Linked DNA regions of Macaca mulatta. Each later gene encodes a partner of the first gene's protein in a complex. Links are inferred from orthologs where the notes say so. Each region holds a gene or a part of one and is shown in the gene's direction. Other genes may lie near its edges.

What was found. Proteins that work in one complex are often made in the same cells at the same time.
Region 2: the proteins of KIF13B (region 1) and ADAP1 are in contact, whole or in part, in a crystal structure (PDB 3MDB), measured with the Homo sapiens proteins. The link is inferred for Macaca mulatta from reciprocal best matches to the Homo sapiens genes KIF13B and ADAP1. Residues at the interface, in NP_056069.2 of Homo sapiens: Val451, Asn452, Leu453, Asn454, Ala455, Asp456, Pro457, Leu463, Arg512, Phe514, Asn516, Gly517, Arg531, Leu533, Asn536, Asn537, Phe539; in NP_006860.2 of Homo sapiens: Trp137, Asn143, Gly144, Gln145, Phe146, Leu147, Pro186, Ala187, Lys188, Ile189, Gly190, His191, Pro192, His193, Tyr211, Glu213.

Annotation. Positions count from the first base shown.
Region 1 is NC_133413.1:30,901,440-30,908,145, reverse strand, and holds part of KIF13B (kinesin-like protein KIF13B), read left to right. Parts: intron 1-1,431; coding exon 1,432-1,622; intron 1,623-2,620; coding exon 2,621-2,831; intron 2,832-3,676; coding exon 3,677-3,839; intron 3,840-6,706. UniProt on the Homo sapiens protein: Involved in reorganization of the cortical cytoskeleton. Regulates axon formation by promoting the formation of extra axons. May be functionally important for the intracellular trafficking of MAGUKs and associated protein complexes.
Region 2 is NC_133408.1:34,896,667-34,903,962, reverse strand, and holds the start of ADAP1 (arf-GAP with dual PH domain-containing protein 1), read left to right. Parts: upstream 1-2,787; 5' UTR 2,788-2,989; coding exon 2,990-3,071; intron 3,072-7,296. UniProt on the Homo sapiens protein: GTPase-activating protein for the ADP ribosylation factor family. Binds phosphatidylinositol 3,4,5-trisphosphate (PtdInsP3) and inositol 1,3,4,5-tetrakisphosphate (InsP4). Regulates the incorporation of CD63 and CD9 into multivesicular bodies.

The DNA of each region.
Region 1 (6,706 bases):
TTGCTGCATATATATTATATATATATATGTGTGTGTGTGTGTGTGTTCATTCACTGTATATGGTCTGAACCCTAGAGACATATAAACAATATACCGTGGAAAAATACTGAGTTCATCTACACAGTTTTTCCCTTTTATTTCCCACTGGAAGGTGATTCCTTTGCTGTGTGGTGTAAGAATTTATTAATAAACATTAATAGTTTTCCTGACATGTTTATCTTTTTAATTTTTTTTTTTATGGAAACATGGTTTTGGTTTTAGTTTCCTTATCTATAAAATAAGGTTGGTATTTCTTTTAGAAATTCTTTTCGGCTCTAAGTCATGGCCAGTTTTACTGTAATGGGTTAGACAGATCATTTATTTCCCTGACAGAACCAGAAATCTAAAGGAACATGGTTGTTAGTGTTGGCTAAGCCTCTCAAATAAAGTCATGGCTAAAGTCTGGTCACTGTCTTGGCGTCTCTCTATGGCCTGAAGTTGGCCATGCTGCACTGCCGTCAAAACAGCATTCAGGTACAGGAAGAAAAAGGAGAACCGTAAGCTGTGCTAGCCCTGACTCTCCTGTTCATCCGAAAAAACAGAGAAGTCTTCCCAGAGTCCTCAGCAATCTCCTTCTGTCTCCTTTGCTAGAAATTGCTTCCTAGTTGCAAAGGGGGCTGCAAAAGACTGTATCTCGCCTGGGGCTGTACATGCGGTTTCCCAAACAAAATTGATGTTGCGTTGACAAGGCAGGCAGGCTGGAGATTGTAAAAAGTGAACATCCTGGTCTCTTGTTACTGTCACTGGTCATCGTGCTCCAGATGTCAGACTGACTTTTCTGTAGCTAATAGAGAGCGTTTGCCATGGGCCAGTGATACTTTGGTTACTGAGAAAAGGGTAGATGGGCACAAAGAGCATGGAGTATTTTTTTCCTTCCTAAATTAAATGACGTGTAAACTGCTTTGCTTTGTGTTCAAAACCCTCATTGTTTGGATGAAGCTGATCTTTCCAGCTTTAGCTCTAGTGTGCTGTACAAATTTTGAATATCCCGTTGTTTTACTCATTTCTCCAGGGAATGTGAATGTTTCCATTTTCACATCTTTTCCCACGCTTTCCCTCTACCCTGCTTTCTCTGTATCCGTGAAGACAGTTCAAATGATTTCCTCCTGTTGCACTTTCCTTTATCACCTTGCTCTGAAATCGTCCTCAGCTTTCCTTTAACTCTGAGTTTGTCACAGGTGTGTGGACTAGTGTCACACTTTCTGTTGTAAGTTTTTGCTGGCACTTGAGTGTCTTATTTCTATGACTAGATTATCAACTTCCTGAGTACAGTAATTGCCTTGTACTTACATGGTATCTACTTGGCTTCTAGCGGATGCCATTACTTAATGAATGACATAAATAAGTACCTGTCTTAACTTCAGAAAATAATACTCTTTTTTTCCCCCCAAGACTCAATTTGCCTAAAAAGAAAAAGAAAGCAGAACGAGAGAATGAGGACCATGATCCCTCCATGAAGAATGAAAACAGTTCTGAGCAGCTGGATGTAGACGGAGACTCCTCCAGCGAGGTGTCCAGTGAAATTAACTTTAATTACGAATATGCACAGATGGAGGTCACCATGAAGGCCCTGGGCAGCAATGGTGAGCAAGTCAGGCGTGCTGTTAAGCACTGGTTCCGGTTGGTAGACTGTTGCCTACAGTCCCACCTACTCGGTAGGCTGAGGTGGGAAGATCACTTGAGTCCAGGATTTCCAGGCTGCAGTGAGCTGAGGTTGTGCCCATGAATAACCACTGCTCTTCAGCCTGGGCAATGTAGCAAGACCTTCTCTCTTGAAAAAAAAAAGATGATAGAGTGTTAAAAATGTTTATGATTGAGGCCTTTTTAAATGTTAAAAAGGAAAATCTTTATGTTGCTATTCTCTGTATTTTGTGTCTTTGGCTTTAATTTATATCAAAATGTTCTGCCTTAATATACAGTCAGATCACTTTGTTCTCATGGATAGAATCTCTCTGGTTTATTTTATTTTAATTTTTTGAGACAGAGTCTCGCTCTGTTGCCCAGGCTAGAGTGCAGTGGCACGATCTCAGCTCCCTGCAGTCTCCACTTCCTGGGCTCAAGTGATTCTATTCTCCTGCCTCAGCCTCCTGAGTAGCTGGGATGACAGGCTTGCACACCACCGTGCCTGGCTAACTTGTATTTTCAATAGAGACAAGATTTCGCCATGTTGACCAGGCTGGTCTCAAACTGATGACCTCAGGTGATCCGCCCACCTCGGCCTCCCAAAATGCTGGGATTACCGATATGAGCCACTGCACCCGGCCACATCTCTCTGCTTTAGAGACTTGCCTGCCACTGGCTTGTGATTGTATTTCTGGAGGATTCGCCATGTCTTAGGTTATGTGTAGAACATATAATAGACCTGCCTTTTCTGCAGGGAAGATGGTTGAGGATATGTCTGAGAATAGATAACAACCTGAGTGATTGAAAGTCAGGAAAGCTAAGTTTATGCCAAATTGTCTTTAAAGTATTAGTTAGGTGGTATAGTTAAGATGACAAACAACATCACCATATAGAACCACATTTGAAGTTTGTTATGTTGTAACTCGCGATCATTTATCTTTTTTAAAAATGTGTTTAGATCCAATGCAGTCCATATTAAACAGCCTAGAACAACAGCATGAAGAAGAAAAACGATCCGCACTGGAGCGCCAGAGGCTTATGTATGAGCACGAATTGGAGCAGCTCCGGAGAAGGCTGTCTCCTGAGAAGCAGAACTGCCGGAGCATGGACAGGTTTTCTTTCCACTCGCCCAGCGCTCAGCAGCGCTTGAGACAGTGGGCTGAGGAGAGGTAGGCGGCACAGAGAGGCTTGTTACACGTATAGCTCGGCCTCGCCACCTCTAACACACCTAGGGAAAGTGTCAAATGGAAACATTGAGATGGTGCTTACAAAAGAATTATGTTAAAAGATAAGTGTTACAGCCAAGAACCACTTTGCATTTTTTTTTTAAAAAGGGAAATTGCCCATTTATATTGCATTATTTAAAACTGTTGATGTTAGGTGCTGCTCCATTTTCAGTTGGTATGGCTTTTGGATTTGGATATAGAGTACACTTTATCATTGTATTATGCTTCAGGTTCTGAAGCTTGGGTAGATGATTTTTAGAAAAACAAAGTTGATTATCTGGACTGATTAGCTCAGGTAGTTAAAGCATGGTGCTGATGAGGTACAGATTGCAAGTGTCATCTCTGTACGGGATAATCAGCGTTGTATTGAAATGCGTCATCCCATGGTTGCAGACTACTTCACTAACCTCATATTATTTAAAGTTTGGTCTGCAGGCAGGCAGCTTCCCTTTCACCTGGAGATTGATAGAAATGTAGGATTTCAGGCCTCCACCTCAGACCTGCTGAGAAAATCTTGAGTTGATGAAGATCCCCTGGTGATCTGCATACACGGGCACTGCCCTTATCTACAGCCAGCCTGCTGTGTGGCTGTGCACCAGTGCCTATCGTGTAGTTCAGGTTCAAGTGTGTGCATGGGTCAGTGTCAGCAACACAGTCCCTGCGTGCAGACCACCATGGAAAAGCTCAATTCACATTTTGGCAATGATGTACTGCCACTGTATGATTTTCTGACTAGCTGCTTTGTGTTAATCTCTTCCCTACCTCTGCCCCTTCTTTATTTTTTTAAGAGAAGCAACGTTGAATAACAGCCTGATGAGGCTGAGGGAACAAATTGTTAAGGCCAATCTATTGGTGAGAGAAGCTAATTACATTGCTGAGGAGCTGGATAAAAGAACAGAATACAAAGTTACCCTACAGATTCCAGCCTCCAGCCTGGATGCCAACAGGAAGGTGAGGTTGCCATTCCTTGAAAAAAACAAAGATCTCATTGGATAAGATTGCCTGATGTTTCCTGGTGTTATTTAAGCTTCAGATCCCTATCTGTGCCTGCCCCAAGTCAGATCCTTTGTCCTCCTTGCTTTTGGGTAGAATTGACTTCCTTTCCGTTCTCTGCCTTTGAGTGTATATATATTTTATCCGCTAGGGGAATATTCTCTCCATCTCACCTGGCCCTGACAGTTCATTTCACTCAACTTTCTCCCTTCAAATCTGTTTAAATTCTTTCTTAGAAGTCTTCTCTGATTCATCTTCCCCAAATGTCTTTTTTTTCTTCCTTATGCTACCACTCTACACCCCCTTTCCCACAATTTAGGTGTTCATTTTGCTTATGTTATTTTCTACTTTGAATAGCTTACTCTGTGAAACCGTTCATTAGTTGTGTCATGGTGTCATGTATATATTCAGGTATAACAAGTTTAATAAAATGTAGGGGGAAGTCCCATCACAGTCTTCTATCTTTGCCATTCAGTTGGGTTTTTTTTCCTTCTTTTTTTTTTTTTTTTTTTTTGAGGTTCTTTTCTAGCTCTTGATCACATTCATACATAATTTCTGATGGATTAGGTAGAATTTTCTATTCAGATGAATTTTTTTGTAGGTCCATGCGTTCTGTTTATCCTACAGTAGTCAATACAGAAAAGCTTTAATCGATCCATCTTGGATATTCTATTTTGTTTGTTCATTTGTTTGTTTGAGATGGAGTCTGGCTCTGTCACCCAGTGCAATGGTGTGATCCTGGGTCACTGCAACCTCCACCTCCTGGGTTCAAGCGATTCTCCTGCCTCAGCCTCCTGAGTATCTGAGATTACAGGTGTGTGCCACCACACCGGACTAATTTTTGTAGTTTTAGTAGAGATGAGGTCTTGCTGTGTTGGCCAGGCTGGTCTCAAAGTCCTGACCTCAAGTGATCCACCTGCCTTGGCCTCTGAAAGTGCTGGGATTACAGGCAGATATTCTAATTTGATAGCAAGGATTACATCTTTCTTTCCCTATGACATCACAGCATTGAGGTCAGCATTTTGTACAGGGTTAGATATTTGGCAAATGTGATTCTTAGTATTTTAAGAAAGGTATTGTCAATATGATGTGATCATTACAGATCATTGTTTTTGTATACTCTGTGTGTATTTTGAAAAATTTTACTTAATTAGAACTTACTAGTATTTGTAAGGGCAAAGTCTGGGTACAGTAGGACTCACCAAAAACCAAAGAGGAAGGCCAGTCACAAGGAGAAGGTTCAGGGCCTAGTTTCTTCTTGAAGGCTGAGAAGTACAAGATCCTCTTTCATTTTACAGTGTACGAGTTGAAAAAAGCAGAAATCTGAAAAATTTTTCCCCATTAAACATGACTGCAGCCCTTTTCTCTAACCTATTTTGGGGTTTGTTGAAAGGTGTGACTCTGCTTTGGGGTAGCCATGTCAACACCCAGAAGTAACTCATGTCACCTGACATCTCTCCTTAGTTTAGTTAGGCTGAATCTGTAGTCTTTAATGCAGCAGACTATTTTTTGGTATTTGAAAACTTGTTTAATGTCCCATCCATTCTGTGAACACTCTCTCCTCTGGCAAATTTTTTTCTTATTTCCAATTTTGCAAGAGGGCTAAGTTATGGTAGTTGCACCGTATTGCCCATTGCTATTTAGTCCCAGGTCCAGCATTCTCCCCCAGGAAAGCCACTACCTACAAAGGTCACAGATGGGATTTTTGGATTTATTCACTGGCTGACTGAATATAAGGTAGGAGGGCCTTTAATTTTGACTGTAGGATGGCTGGGCATGGTGGCTCATGCCTGTAATCCCAGCACTTTGGGAGGACAAGGTGGGTGTATCACCTGAGGTCAGAAGTTAGAGACCAGCCTGGCCAATATGATGAAACCTCATCTCTACTAAAAATACAAAAATCAGCCAGGCATGGTGGCAGGCACCTGTAATCCCAGCTGCTCAGGAGGCTGAGACCGGAGAATCACTTGAACCCAGGTGGAGTTTGCAGTGAGCCGAGATTGGGCCACGCACCCTAGCCTGGGTGACAGAAAGAGACTCTGTCTCAATTAAAAAAAAAGAAAAACACATTTTGACTGTAAGAATTCTCAAATGTTTGTTTTATTATTTAAATTTTGTTTCTTAGAAAATGATTGTAGGCAAGATGTTAATGAAACATCAATATGTTTCCTTAAATTTTTCCCTGTATTTCAAAGTTCCCTTAAGTTTTAAGTGGAACAGTTGAAAAATTAAGCCAGTAAACCTAGATTGATTAGCTAACCAGTAGATAAGTCTCCCTTGGGGAAATGTATAAGGGCTTTTTTTTTTTTTTTTTTAAACTTTGTGGTTTTTAAAAGTTCTAAATTTTTTTCTATGTTAAAAATACATTGCTCAAGTTCTTCTGCTCTGAAAAAAATCCACATTGCTCTTATAAGCTGGAAAAACTTCAGAGCGTACCTTTTTTTGGAGGGGGGTGATATTTGCATAACAGAACATTACTATTTTATTTTATTATTATTATTTTTTTTGAGATGGAGTCTCACTCTGTCGCCCAGGCTGGAGTGCAATGGCGCGATCTCAGCTCACTGCAACCTCTTCCTCTTGGGTTCAAGCGATTCTTCTGCCTCAGCCTCCAGAGTAGCTGGGACTACAGGCACCCACCAGCATGCCTGGCTAATTTTTGTATTTTTAGTAGAGATGGGGTTTCACCATGTTGGCCAGGCTGGCCTCAAACTCCTGACCTTGTGATCTGTCTGCCTTGGCTTCCCGTAGTGCTGGGATTACAGGCGTGAGCCACCGCACCCGGCCAAACATTACTATTTTGAAGTGAACAACTCAGTGGCATT
Region 2 (7,296 bases), on another chromosome or scaffold:
TCAAGCCGGGCATGGTGGCTCAGGCCTGTAATCCCAGCACTTTCAGAGGCTAAGGCAGGCAGATCATGTGAGTCAGGAGTTCGAGACCAGCCTGAGCAACATGGGGAAACCCCGTCTCTACCAAAAAATAAAAAAATTAGCTGGGCATGGTGGCACCCATTTGTGGTCCCAGCTACTCAGGAGGCTGAGACAGGAGAATCACCTGACCCCAGGAAGCAGAGGTTGCAGTGAGCTGAGATTGTGCCACTGCACTCCAGCCTGGGCGATAGACCAAGACCTGTCTCTAAAAAAGAAAAAAAAGGAAAATACAAGTCAGGTCATTTCTCCTAATACCTAGTGCAGAGCTGCTGCTGTTATTAACATTCATCTGTCTTTATTAGGTGACATTCTCCAAGCTCATGCTGTGTGGTGGATTCCAAGCCTGGCACAGGGACCCAGAGATGGAAATGCCACCTATCCCCACCCCAAAGGCTCCCATCTGAGGGAGGAGAAAGACCTGTGTGAATGGTTACAGGGAAAGGGCATGTGACGCCACAGGGCTCATGATCCCAGAGACGCAGACCAAAACAGGCTGCTGTGTTCTGCTTCAGGTGGACAGAGCTTAAGCAGCTCTGTCATTCCACGTTGGCTGGAGCAGGGAGACAGGTGTCTTTGGTGGCACACTGGTCAGTGCGGCCTCAGTGGAGGCCGTCCCACATCCCATACCATTGCCCCAGGGATGCCACTTTGAGTGCAAATCCACACGAAACTCTCACAAAGATGAGGCTGTGGGCCAGGCGTGGTGGCTCAAGCCTGTAATCCCAGCACTTTGGGAGGCCGAGACAGGCGGATCACGAGGTCAGGAGATCGAGACCATCTTGGCTAACACGGTGAAACCCCGTCTCTACTAAAAATATAAAAAATTAGCCGGGCAAGGTGGCGGGCGCCTGTAGTCCCAGCTACTCGGGAGGCTGAGGCAGGAGAATGGTGTAAACCCGGGAGGCGGAGCTAGCAGTGAGCTGAGATCCGGCCAGTGCGCTCCAGCCTGGGTGACAGAGCGAGACTCCGTCTCAAAAAAAAAAAAAATTAAAAAATAAAAGATGAGGCTGTGTAGACCGTGATTCTGATGCATTCAGAACGCCCTGAATGCTTCTACGCCAGTGACTGGGTGAACAAGTCATGGTCCAGTTGAACTTTTTTTGGAATTTTTTTTTTTTTTTTGAGACAGAGTTTCACTCTTGTTGCCCAGGCTGGAGTGCAATGGCACAATCTCAGCTCGCTGCAACCTCCACCTCCCAGGTTCATGCGATTCTCCTGCCTCAGCCTCAGCTGGGATTACAGGCATGTGCCACCACGTTCAGCTAATTTCTTCATATTTAGTAGAGACGAGGTTTTGCCATGTTGGTCAGGCTGGCCTTGAACTCCTGACCTCAGGTGATCCACCCGCCTCGACCTCCCAAAGTGCTAGGATTATAGGCATGAGCCACCACACCCAGCCGAACTTTTGAGTAGAATACAACCATTCAAAAAGAAAGAGTCTGGGCACAGTGCTCACGCCTGTAATCCCAGGACTTTGGGAGGCTGAGACAGGAGGATCACTTGAACCCAGGACTTCAAGACCAGCCTGGCAACATAGGAAGATCCCCATCTCTACAAAAAAAAAAAAAAAATTTTTTTTTTAGAGACAGGGTCTCCCCTCTCTTCCCCAGGCTGGAGTGCAGTGACACCATCATAGCTCACTGCAGCCTCAGCTTCTGGGCTCAAGTGATCCTCCTGCCTCCGCCTCCTGAGTAACTGGGACTCCAGGCCCCCACCGTCACACCTGGCTAAATTTTGTATTTGTAGAGATGGGGTCTTGCCATGTTGCGCAGGTTGGTCTCAAACTGCTGAGCTCAAGCGATCCACCAGCCCTGGCCTCCCAAAGTGCTGAGATTACAGCCCTTAGCCAAAACCCTGTCTCCATAAATGATTAAATAAATGAAAGGCCACAGGCCTCAGACCGTTCATTCTGGAAGGTGCTGAGGAATTGTTTGTTAATAGTGGTTGCCTGGAAGGCAGCGGGGGGAGGCTTTCCTTTTTCAGTCTGGTATGTTCTAGTTTTTTTTCAGCCGGGCGTACTGCACTAACAATATAAGAAGAAAATGGAAAGAATTTGAAAAGACGCTGGGGTGTGCAGAGGAAGGGCACCCAAGTCTGGGGAAGGCGACATCAAACCCAGGCTTTTTGTTACCTGTCAGCCCCCATGTGAAGTCCCCGCCGGGCCCCTCAGCCAGCCTGAGTGGGAGGAGTGCTCAGAGGGTCCCCTCTGTGGGTGGTGGGCAGCTGGGTGGGTCTCAGGGGGAGGCTCCCTCTGGGGCCTCTGCGGCCTCAGTGCCCTGGGATGCTGGCGTTTGTCACTTGCTGGCCACCCCTCCCAGGCAGGGATGGTGTGAGCGCCCTGGTCCCTAGCGCAGAACACACACGCCTGCCTTGCATGAGCACCCCCGTGCCCATGGTCTTGGGGGGCTCGGCAGGTGCCCTCTGCACCCCCCACAGTAGGTGTGCAGGTTCCGTCCCAGCGCGCGTGGCGGCACGAGGGTCCCATCCAGTCCGGCCAGGTTTTGGGGCGGCCTCTCGCCCAGGCAGGTGGGATGCTGCGCGCGGATGAGGGGCGGGCAGCGGGCTACTTCCCGGTGGGTCCCCGGGGCGCGCGGGCTGGGGGCGCCGGAGCGGCCGAGGGAGGAGGCCACACGCTCGCCTGCACCGCTGGGGGCCGCCCGCGGGCCTTGCCGGCCAGAGCGCAGCGTGCGCCCCGGGCCCCGCGCCGGCACTCGCTCAGCGACCGCGGCGGAGACACGAGCGGCGGCTGCGGAGCCCTGAGGGCGGCGGGAATGCGGAACCGGCGCGCGGGCTGAGGCCGCCCGGCATGGCGCAGGGGCGGCGGCGGCGGGCGGCCTGCGCGGGGCCCTAGCGAGCCGGCGGACGCTCCCGGCCCCGGCCCCGGCATCGGCATCGCGGGCGCATCGCGGCCATGGCCAAGGAGCGGCGCAGGGCGGTCCTGGAGCTGCTGCAGCGGCCGGGGAACGCGCGCTGCGCGGACTGCGGCGCCCCGGGTAGGTGTGGGCCGGGTGGGCGCGGGGCCGGGTGGGTCCCGGGTGGGCGCGGGGTGCCGGGTGGGTCCTGGGTGGGCCCCAGGGACTGGGCGGGGGACCGCGGACGCCGCGGGGGTGGCGGTGCTGAACACCCGGCCGGCGCTCGGATGGGGCCCGGGCCCGGCTGCACCTGCGGGACCCGGACGTCTCCCCGGGCCGGGCGGAGCGGGAGGCGCCCCCAGGACCCCCGGAAATCCCCCTGCCGCCGCCTCCCCTCCCCCTCCGGGCTGCGTGTCTGACGGTCACCGCGGACCGCCCGCCGCGTTGCGAAAGCTCGGGCTCCGCACAGAAAGAGGAAATCGGGGCTGGCTGCAGGGAGGGAACGGGCCGCCGGCTGGAGGGCTCTGCTGGACTGTGGGGTCCCCCGGCTCCGGGGCCACCTCGCGGTGACGTCATGCCTCACTCCCTCCCCACACCGGGGGTCCCTGGGTGTGAGCGGCGCCCCTCCCGCGGCTCCCTGCACCTGGCTGCTCCGGGGCGGGTGCCAGGACAGGTGAGGCCTGGAAGAGGTGGGGCCGGACGCAGGTCCTCGTCCACCTGCCGCCCGCCCGTTCGTTCTCCCGGCCGGGCATCCCTGACTCGGTTCCTAGGTCTGTGGGATTTCAAGGCACAGGAGTCCAAAGGCGCGGAGTCCCTCCCTTCCAGGCCACTGGTCCTGCCATTGGCTGTGAACGGGGCCCAGTGCCCAGACCAGCCCTGCCCTGCTTCGGAGCTGTCAGCCCCAGGCCGGCTGCGCTGTGGGGAGAGGGCCCTGCCAGGGCAGTCCTGCCACCCCAGGCACACCAGGAATCTGGGGGCCAATAGCCTGAGCCCCTTGGAACAAACCTAAACTCACCAAGGATGGCTGAGGTCCCCAGGGAGAGAGCGGGGGAAGACCCTGCATTTGCCCCCAAGGCCCTGGTTCAGCATGCAGTCTCTGGACACCCCGGAAATAGGATCTGATTCTCTCTGGGATGGAGGGGTCTCTGCCAGCCCCAGGTCGTGGTGGCTGCTGTCCAGCCACAGTTTGGCCCGAGAGTCCACACCAGGAGCTGGGGTGTCCCAGAGGGGAGATAGTGACAGGCTTTTCTGGAAAGACAGGCAGGACCCACGGCCTTTCCGTGGTCTCCTGAGGCAGGGCGGCTGCAGGGCCAGTGCAATGGTGTGGTGGGGGCGGCCCCCTGGGCTGGCTCGCACGAGAATCTCTGACCCCAGATCTTTATTTCCTCCTGTTCAGGAATGCTCCCCTGGAGAGTCAGTGGGAAAGGGCCTGGCCTGGGGTTGCTATGGCCCACGGGGAGGGGAGCTGGGCTTGTCTCTGAACCTCTGATTCCTGGCCACACAGCCTGGGAGCAGCTTCTCTGGACTCAGAGCCCCTCTCCAGCTGCCCTCTGGGCCTCCCAGCCTGGCAGGAGGAAGAAAGAGGGCACTTCCCTGGCCTGCTGGGCCCTTCAGTGGCCCTCCCCTCCCAGTGGGTGCAGGTGTGCCTGGCCCACCACAGAGCTGTTCTCGGCCCTCCCCCTGCCCGGTGCTGCTGGGCACAGGGCCGCACCTGTGCCTTCTCAGAATTGGTCCATGACCTCAGTGACTCGCCTCCTCTGTCGGGTAGCGCCATGGAGCGGGGATGCTGTGAGGGGTTGTTCTCATTTCACAGCCAGGGAGACTGATGCCTTGCAAACTGGAGCTGGGGATATGGGTCACACCCGGCCGCTGTGCTTGTCCCCGCTTCCCAGGGCTGTGGCCACAGGGTGGAACAGGAGGTGTCAGGAGACGGGGGGCTGCCCGGACCCCATGACCCCATGGCACACCCTTGAGGGCGCTATGCTGCTTTGCTGATGCGGCTGCTCTGGGATCTCCTGTTCCTGCTGTGGCCCAGCTGGGTGACAAGGAGCCACTCCAGTATTGATGGGGACTGGGGTGACCAGCACGTTCTGCTTTCCTCAGAACACTGTCCTGTGCACTGGCTCTCGGCTGGTGCAGACCCGGTCAGCAGGACATCAGACAGTCCCAGGCCACCTCTGAACGCCAGGCCTGTGGGTGCTGGGGTAGACTTGAGCAGGCCCCACCTACTGGCCATGTGAGGGAAGCCACATGGTCTGGGGGTCTCTGAGGCCTCCACAGAAGCTCCTTCCAAACTCTCATGATCTGTCCCACTAGTGGGTTCCCCTGACCTTGAACAGGTCCTCACCCAGCGGCCACCCAGAGAGCCTCTCCTCACAGGCCTGGCAGGTGGGCGAGTTGGGGCGTGCTTGGACCCACTGTCCTGCAAGACCTGGGTGGGGGTCTCCATCCTGGGTGGGGCTTGGGGGAGGGAGGAGGTGCCTCTGTGCATCCTTGGCACTGCCTGCCTAATTGCAACAGAGGACAGGAATCAGGCGTGGTGGCTCACGCCTGTAATCCCAACACTGGGAGGCTGAGGCGGGAGGATCGCTTGAGGCCAGGAGTTGGAAGCTGCAGTGATACACTCCATCCTAGGCCAGAGTGAGACCCTGTCTCAAAAAAAAAGAAAAACAGACATATTCTCCTTTTTGAGTCTCAGCCCGTCTGATGCCCTGGGAGGACTGGGGTGTCTGAGCTCTTTTTTCTTTTTTATTTTGTGATAAGGTCCCGCTGTGTCACCCAGGCTGGAGTACAGTGGCTCAATCTCAACTCACTGCAGCCTCTGCCTCCGGGACTCAAGCAATCCTCGCACCTCAGCCTCTCGAGTAGCTAGGATTACGGGTCCATGCCACCATGCCCGCTAATTTTTTTTTTTTTTTTTTTTTTTTTGAGACGGAGTCTTGCTGTGTGGCCCAGGCTGGAGTGCAGTGGCACGATCTCGGCTCACTGCAAGCTCCGCCTCCCGGGTTCATGCTATTCTCCCGCCTCAGCCTCCGAGTAGCTGGGACTACAGGCGCCCGCCACCACGCCCGGCTAGTTTTTTATATTTTTAGTAGAGACGGGGTTTCACCATGTTAGCCAGGATGGTCTCGATCTCCTGACCTTGTGATCCACCCGCCTCGGCCTCCCAAAGTGCTGGGATTACAGGCTTGAGCCACCGCGCCCGGCCTTTTTTTTTTTTTTTTTTTTTTTAAGAGAATCTCTTGATGTCACCTAAGCTGCCATGCAGTGGCATGATCTTTGCTCACTGCAACCTCCAACTCCCGGTTCAACTGATTCTCATTCTCCTGCCTCAGTCTCCCAAGTCGCTGGGATTTCAGGCGTGCACCACCACCCCTGGCTAATTTTTGTGTTTTTAGTAGAGATGGGGTTTCATCATATTGGCCAGGTTGGTCTCGAACTCCTAACCTCAAGTGATCCACCTGCCTCAGACTCCCAAAGTGCTGGGATTCCAGGTGTGTGAGCCACTGCTCCCAGCCTAATTTGTTTGTTTGTTTGTTTGTTTGTTTGTTTGTTTGGTAGAGATAGGGTTTTGCCATGTTGGCCAGGCTGGTCTCGAACTCCTGGCCTCAAGCAGTCCTCCTGCCTCGGCCTCCTAAAATGCTGGAATTACAGGCGTGAGCCACCGCGCCTGGCCTGTGTCTGGGCTCTTTAACTGGGTTGGAGAGCAGGTGGTGACTGGTACTTCGTGTCACCTGGGTGTCTGAGGCACCTGGAGCACCAGATGGATCCAACAATCCCAGGGGCACCCTGGGCCCCCGGTTCTGGAGGCCTGGCTCTGAGAGGAAGTCTGTTCCTAAGAAGCAGGAAGATGGCTGGGACCCTCTTGTGGAGGCCCTGGTGGTTTAGGTATTGCTCCTTCATTCCACATCTGAGGCCCCAGCCAGATCCAGGCTCTGGGGTGGCCCCAGCCCCAGGGATAATGGGGCATGAGTGACCCTGGAGGCCAGTCCTTGAGGCTCCGTGGAACCCGAGCCTGTGCTTGCAAGGCTGATGGGGCAGACTCACAGCTCAGCCTCCTCATTCAACCCAGGAAGGCTTCAGGGCCGAGGTGACATTTCAGAAATTGCTGGTAGCAATTCCCTTGGTGGGGAGGAGTTTCAGGAACTTGGCCTGGCATGCGTGAGGGTGGGAAGAAGGCTGCTGAATGTGGGCGGGGGCTGGGCAGACTCCCTTCACTCCCCAGGGCAGCAGCCAAACTAGGTTGGAATTTTTTTTTTTTTTTTTTTGAGACGGAGTCTCGCTCTGTCGCCCAGGCTGGAGTGCAGTGGCCGGATCTCAGCTCACTGCAAGCTCCACTTCCCGGGTTCACACCATTCTCCGGCCT